Linked DNA regions of Saccharomyces cerevisiae S288C. The gene in region 2 interacts genetically with the main gene of each other region. Each region holds a gene or a part of one and is shown on either strand. Other genes may lie near its edges.

What was found.
Region 1: mutations in FDH1 (region 2) and FCY21 together harm fitness less than expected from each alone (positive genetic interaction), as found in Saccharomyces cerevisiae (one large-scale study listed by BioGRID).

The regions. Positions count from the first base shown.
Region 1 is NC_001137.3:272,816-276,902, reverse strand, and holds FCY21 (purine-cytosine permease), read right to left. Parts: upstream 2,337-4,087; coding exon 750-2,336; downstream 1-749. Other genes in the region: FCY22 (purine-cytosine permease), read right to left, coding at 1-331; PCL6 (Pcl6p), read right to left, coding at 3,017-4,087. UniProt on the Saccharomyces cerevisiae protein: Probable purine-cytosine permease.
Region 2 is NC_001147.6:1,071,236-1,074,983, reverse strand, and holds FDH1 (formate dehydrogenase (NAD+)), read left to right. Parts: upstream 1-2,060; coding exon 2,061-3,191; downstream 3,192-3,748. Other genes in the region: YOR389W (uncharacterized protein), read right to left, coding at 1-771. UniProt on the Saccharomyces cerevisiae protein: Catalyzes the NAD(+)-dependent oxidation of formate to carbon dioxide. Formate oxidation is the final step in the methanol oxidation pathway in methylotrophic microorganisms.

The DNA.
Region 1 (4,087 bases), on a different chromosome or scaffold from region 2:
ATACTAGAGGACCCAAGGCACCTACGGAATAGGCTACAATCACCATATTAGCTGAAAACCATATAGTGGCGGCATTGAGTATCGAGTCATCATTTTTTTCATCTTCTGTAACTGGTTCAATACCTTTCGTCTCAGCATTTAAAGCAGCTGCAATCCTATTGAAAAAGGACGGCTTATTATCAATGAATTCGTTGGTTCTATGCAATTCTACACCCTCATAGTATACATCAGCGGCGGAAGATTTTGTGTCCAGAGCTCCAGATTCGAGGTCCCTTAGTTCACTCCCCGCATCTTTTATATCGACCATTGACATGGCTAACTTTTCTGGCATACTTTTCTTCGATATTTTAGTCACCTTCTGAAACACCCTCCATTTCAATCTGACAAGCGTATCTTATAACAAACAATTTGGTTATCATGTTATATATTTGTCTGGTTTACAAATCACCAGTGCAAAAACAGACTACATTTATGTCATCTGCATGCATTAGGCTTTCAACAGACTAGAAATCAAAATTTATCAACTAAACAGAAATAATGCAACGTCTCATAAAGTATTTACTGGCGATCGGAGTAACTCTTAGAACCACAGTCACGTGATATGCTTATCAGAATTGCGTTATCAACTCAAATGAATGAGCCGTGATAATTTAATTAACATACATGCTATTTTTTAATGATTTGCATACTAGAGCCATTTATGTTACATTACAAAGACTAAAATAGCGAAACATTTAAATGAACTTTCGTTAACGACCAAAGTACTTGAGCTCAAAGGGTCTAGCAATGTTGTAAACTATAAATGCCCAACTTAGTCCTAACTCGAATCCAATATCACCACCGTAGTCTCCGATCAAACGGCTGATCTCGCCAACCCAATAAGTTTGGCACATACCCAACGCTACGCCAAAGGCACCAACAATTAAGGCAGCAGTACCTGCAATGCCGATAGGTAGACGTTCCCAACTATCCCAATCATCAACATTGTAAGCACTGAAGGAACGCCTATAAATAAAATGCTCTGAACATGCAATGGCAATATAAATAGCCAAATAATAACCTATGGAATCCATGAAGTAATTCATGAAGGTAGAAAAATAGTAGCAGGCAGGAATGGCAATACCCAGTGCGGCCGCATTGCCTAATAAAGTCCAAATAACTCTTGGGACTTTCGCAAGAGGTTCCCACGTGGCTTGCACCGATAAAGCAATAGTATACATGTTGGGAACATTATTAGCGATAGTGGACAGAGACAATAACACGCAACAGAACTGACCGAATCCGTGAACAGAATTAGGGACAAGAACGGCAAAAGTTAAACCACCTATGGAATTTTCGTCATAATACGTCTTCCAGGCTGGATCGCCGATAGCTGCCATTGCTACAGCTGCACCAAGTATCATAGTAAAATATAATGGTGTTGCTAACCCAACTACAAGCGAGAAAAAAATTTTATACTTGTTCGTTTTCCTTGGCATATAAACGGTATAGTCAGCCGCATATGTTGTCCAGCCTGCAGCAAACCCATAAACTGTTGATCCAAATGAAAGCACGTTACCTGCTGTAGTAGGACCAGATGTCCACTCCCCAAGGACAAATTTTTTAGACCTTGCCAAACGAGCAATTATTACCAAAAAAACGGCAAAATTTGGTACCCACGCCCATTTCTCGTAAGCATGAATGACTCCATAGCCGAAAAAAGTTACAATTACAGTAGCACCGATAATAACTATACAACCAGCCCAGAGAGGACATTGATGACCGGGGTTAACCATATTCAGGACTTGCGAGCTTGCTACGGTATTAACGATACCCCAACCGATACAGGCAATAAAATTGATGAAAGAGAAGATCCTGGCTGCGATATTGCCAACTAAATATCTAGACAAAATCATCTGTCTTAGGCCCAGCTCTGCACCGAAAACAGAAAAGAAAGCAACTGATACCAAGCCTAAGAGGTTAAAGAAAATAATAACGAAAACGCTTTGGCCGAAATTTAGATCAAACACCATAGGCCCTAGGGCGCCAATGGCATAAGCAGGCAGAACCATATTTGCTGAAAACCACATAGATGCAGCGTTCAGTATAGAATCATCAGTTTTTTCATCTTCTGTAATCGGTTCAATACCCTTTGTCTCGGCACTTAAACCAGCAGCAATTCTGTTCAAAAACGACAGTTTAGCTTCAACTAATTCTTCTGTTCCGTGCGATTCTACATCATCATAGAATTCATTTGTTGAAGGAGTCTTTGCATCGTGAGCTCGAGACTCAAGGTCTTTAAGTTCATATTTTAAGTATTGAGTGCCGTTCAGGGACATTTCGTGCGTTTGAGGCATATTTGTTAGCCCTTTTATAATATGGTAGGTTTTCCGAGCACACGCGCCTCAATGCTAATAATAGTGAAGTAACAAGCACTTTTAATGCTGTGTTTACGTTAGCACGGACTACAGAGTATCTGTTAAGAGGGACGTCTACGCCCTTATATATATACGTGTTACTTCTGACTAAAATTGCTTGGCAATACGATGAGTGAAAAAAAAAAGGCCTTATCGAATTTTTCTTTCCGTCACATAATGACGCCGGCACCTTTGCCCTTCTCGTATTCGTGATGAAAATAAGTTAGAATCGGTGAACGCAAAATGATAAGATTTCCAAAATGAAAACTCAGTTAGCAGTCAATTTTGACTGCTCCATATACAGTCTATCATGCGATAAGCTTGAATAAAATAATATGGTTTTTTTTTTTCTGTTCAATTTGATGAGGGATAAGCATTTTTTGTTGCTGTTGTATTTGAACGGGAATATAGCAACACCATAAAGTGCTGCTCAACATGTTTCTTATCTCTGAACAATAAAGTAGTCCAAACCGTAATTCAGAATATATCTTAATACCAAAGAATTACCTAAGAAAGTTACCATGCTTATTTCTTAGCAACCGTACGTTAACACATAAGATAATTACTACCTTTGAGAGAAACTGTGTATGTAAATATATCTACTTGCATATTACGCATTTCTACATGCCCGTAACTAGTGCTTGCGATTGAGCTTTTGCGTTGTTCCAAAACCTGTATAGTAAGTCCGCGTATCTCTGCAATTCATTGACTGATATCAAAAGTTCAAAATCACACAAAACTAGAAACTGCAGTTCCAAATGGTTGAGTTCTTGTAAAGATATCCCACCTACCCTTGAGTATCTTGAATTGCTATAGAAGAAATCGCTCAGAAACTTCGTACTGACAGTAATACCTGCTATGATTAATCTGTGAATATTATGTGAATCCATTACGAACATTTGAGGATGAGCCCTTGAATCCCTTTGAACTCCTGTATTTTCATCATCTGAATCGTCATTTTCATTATTTTCGTTACTGTTACATGCGGACATTTTGTCAGCGCCCCTGTTAGCTTTATCTAGAGAGCTTTCATTTGAGGGAGATTCATGTTTTGCAGTATTAGTTTTAGGGGTCGTAGTGACACTATTGCATCTCTTGGATATTCTATCAAAGTACACGAGGAGCGATAAAAATACATCATTCGTTGTGGGGCAATATTTCTGGATCCTCTGGAAATATTGGTCAAGACCAATTTGTGGTACGTGCTTCCCTCTAAACCCCAGAACGGGGCTTAAGTATTTCTTTTCATTGTCACTTAAAGCAAGACACCTACCATTCTCAATCTCTTGTGTCAAACTAGGATTTGTCGCTGCCGTCCTATCATTTGACTTAATAATTTTAGTTAGTAACGCTGTCAGCATTTTAAGAAGCTTGTCTGTGGGAAACTCTGCAATGTTCAAAGACGGGGTTACTTGTGAGTTGCTTGTGTCACCGTCGAGTATTTTGTCTTCCTGGGTGGATGATTGAACTGTATGTGTGCCTTGCACTTTCTCATTTAAATTATTTGTGTCGCTCAATTGCCTTTCGTTATTCTTTGGGAATCGTACTGGATAATATTTGTTAATTGTGTTCATATTTGAGCCATGTACCCTGTTATTCATTTCGACCCTAGCTTGGTTAGAAGCATCCTCATAGTTAAAAGATGATTCTGGTCTAATTCCCATTGATGAAGTAGATGATTGTGATTCTAA
Region 2 (3,748 bases):
AAAGCCAACCTCTACCCTGATAATTCCGTCAAGCCCGAATGGCTTCCCCCATTTGCATATTCTAGCAGCGTAGAGTCGTTCGGCCATTCGTTCGTTTTCACCATCATCTGTAAGGTTCAATTTCTCTTTAATAACATTTGACAACATTAGCTGCGTGTCCATCTCTCCTGAGTCAGTTTTTGCAGCAGAAGCCCCATCAAGATAGAGAAATTTGTTGAGGTCCCGTGCTGCTCTATAGGTAAGCATTTTTTGTGAACCTCGATCTTTTTCGTCTGGTGGTGGTGGTGGTGGTGGCCCTTTTGGATGATCACCATGGGTGCCATTGCCGAACCTCCCATGCCTTCTTTCCAAAGATTTTCTCCCATAGGATGGTGACCTCAAGCCGAAAGAGTAGCTGAATTCGTGGTCCATAGCCAGCCATTCGAAGGTAGTTGGCACTTTTGATCCGGCATGGTACATTAAAGTTCCTTTGGGAATTACAGCGGGAAAATAAGATACTCCGACAGGATGTATATCCGATGGAGACTGTCTTAAAGCAGCTCGAATGGAATTAAAGATAGCCGTGCTGTTATCAAAATCAATGTCTCTGACAAACTCATGGTAATTATCCCATCGTATAGAAGGTGTGTCTGTGATTTTGGTTGCAGGTTGCTTGTGTGGTAGGGCAGTTGACACTATGCCATAAGATTCAGATAATTTCCAACAGAAACCAAGCAGCACAATGAGCAGTACGCCTACGGTGGCTGCGGTACCTTGACGGTGGAATCTCATTATTTATGTAAACAATTATAAATGGGCTCTTCGAGAACTGAGGCCATAGAATTTTTTTTTTTTATGAATTTTTTTTATCATCCTAATACTTTTTGTCTTTTAAGAGTGAAGAGCCGCAAGTTTCTTTTTTTTTTTATTTTGTTTTTAATTTTTTTCTTGGCATAGAATTTTTACACCCCGATCTTTTTTTTACATACGTAGTTCATTGCCGCTGATTACTGCATCGTCTCGCTTTGCCCGGAGAACGGTTGTTAACTTGTGTTTAATGTGGTGTAAAGACAATGTCAATGCAAGTGACATGAACACTGTAATACATCACATTGGTAAACAAAGCTTGAATCGTGAACCTTTCTCTAAAAATTTCGATAATATGCATAAAGGTTCTTGAAGCTCCCCTTGTTCAAGTGGTTTATTTTTCTATAGATATTTACACTCCGCAAGTGCAAAAAAAAAGCATTATCGCTAACGATCAAGAGGAACTGAGACCTTATTAGTTGTCTTTGTTGGCGTAACATAAATTTCTTAGGAAAAGAGAAAATTATCTCGAAGGCAAAAATAAACCAAGCCTCGAGTTTAATGGTTTTCTAAAAAACACTTTAAAAACAGATCGCCATAAAAGGAGAAGCTCCGTAGGAGACCGTTTTCGAAACCTATGTAGAAATAAAGGGAAAGCTCCAACGGTTTGGATAAATCTTTAGAAGCATAGAGTTTATACAACATTCAGTACGAAATGTACTCTCGAAACGTTCTCTTTTCACGGTGCTTAGTAGCAGAAAAAAGTGTCGGAAATTACCTATTTTGTCACCACTCGAGGATAGGCTTGAAAGAGAGTTTTAACCCCAACTTTTCTATTTTGCACTTGTTTGGCTATGGTTTAAAACATTCTGTTTGGACCAACAGCCCAAGCGGCTTATCCCTTTTCTTTTTTTCCCTTATAATCGGGAATTTCCTTACTAGGAAGGCACCGATACTAGAACTCCGAATGAAAAAGACATGCCAGTAATAAAACTATTTTGATGTTATGCGGAATATACTATTCTTGGATTATTCACTGTTAACTAAAAGTTGGAGAAATCACTCTGCACTGTCAATCATTGAAAAAAAGAACATATAAAAGGGCACAAAATTGAGTCTTTTTTAATGAGTTCTTGCTGAGGAAAGTTTAGTTAATATATCATTTACGTAAAATATGCATATTCTTGTATTGTGCTTTTTTTATTCATTTTAAGCAGGAACAATTTACAAGTATTGCAACGCTAATCAAATCAAAATAACAGCTGAAAATTAATATGTCGAAGGGAAAGGTTTTGCTGGTTCTTTACGAAGGTGGTAAGCATGCTGAAGAGCAGGAAAAGTTATTGGGGTGTATTGAAAATGAACTTGGTATCAGAAATTTCATTGAAGAACAGGGATACGAGTTGGTTACTACCATTGACAAGGACCCTGAGCCAACCTCAACGGTAGACAGGGAGTTGAAAGACGCTGAAATTGTCATTACTACGCCCTTTTTCCCCGCCTACATCTCGAGAAACAGGATTGCAGAAGCTCCTAACCTGAAGCTCTGTGTAACCGCTGGCGTCGGTTCAGACCATGTCGATTTAGAAGCTGCAAATGAACGGAAAATCACGGTCACCGAAGTTACTGGTTCTAACGTCGTTTCTGTCGCAGAGCACGTTATGGCCACAATTTTGGTTTTGATAAGAAACTATAATGGTGGTCATCAACAAGCAATTAATGGTGAGTGGGATATTGCCGGCGTGGCTAAAAATGAGTATGATCTGGAAGACAAAATAATTTCAACGGTAGGTGCCGGTAGAATTGGATATAGGGTTCTGGAAAGATTGGTCGCATTTAATCCGAAGAAGTTACTGTACTACGACTACCAGGAACTACCTGCGGAAGCAATCAATAGATTGAACGAGGCCAGCAAGCTTTTCAATGGCAGAGGTGATATTGTTCAGAGAGTAGAGAAATTGGAGGATATGGTTGCTCAGTCAGATGTTGTTACCATCAACTGTCCATTGCACAAGGACTCAAGGGGTTTATTCAATAAAAAGCTTATTTCCCACATGAAAGATGGTGCATACTTGGTGAATACCGCTAGAGGTGCTATTTGTGTCGCAGAAGATGTTGCCGAGGCAGTCAAGTCTGGTAAATTGGCTGGCTATGGTGGTGATGTCTGGGATAAGCAACCAGCACCAAAAGACCATCCCTGGAGGACTATGGACAATAAGGACCACGTGGGAAACGCAATGACTGTTCATATCAGTGGCACATCTCTGGATGCTCAAAAGAGGTACGCTCAGGGAGTAAAGAACATCCTAAATAGTTACTTTTCCAAAAAGTTTGATTACCGTCCACAGGATATTATTGTGCAGAATGGTTCTTATGCCACCAGAGCTTATGGACAGAAGAAATAAGAGTGATTATGAGTATTTGTGAGCAGAAGTTTTCCGGTCTCCTTTTGTTCTTGTTTTGGCGTATTCTCCACTATTCGTCCATAGCACATTTATACCTTAGCTAAATATTTTGTAAAGCAAAATTTTCGTTATCTCTTAAAAAATAGAAGAGCGGTTTATTAATATCAAATAATTGAAACTGCTGATATGGTAGCTATATACAAAATCTGCTGTCAAAATTTGGCAGTAAACGATCTTCACGGTAGCGGTTCAAATAAAGAGGAAAAGTCTTTCTCCCTTACTGTTTTTCTGGAATTTGGCTCGTCGTTAATAACAGAACTAAAGATACAGTAAAAGGAGAGATCGCAATCAACTTCATTAATTGTAACAGTAGCATAATCACAACTGATCATCTACACTATAAACAGTTTTTATTTCTAATTATGGGCGCCTGGCCGGCTCAAACATTGTGCTTTTAAGACTCCAAAAGTATCTGCTGCAGAAAAGAGCCATATAATGTTAAGTGTTCAGGGATAGGTTATCGCTTACTACTTCAAACGTTTCGAAGGAAAGCCAGG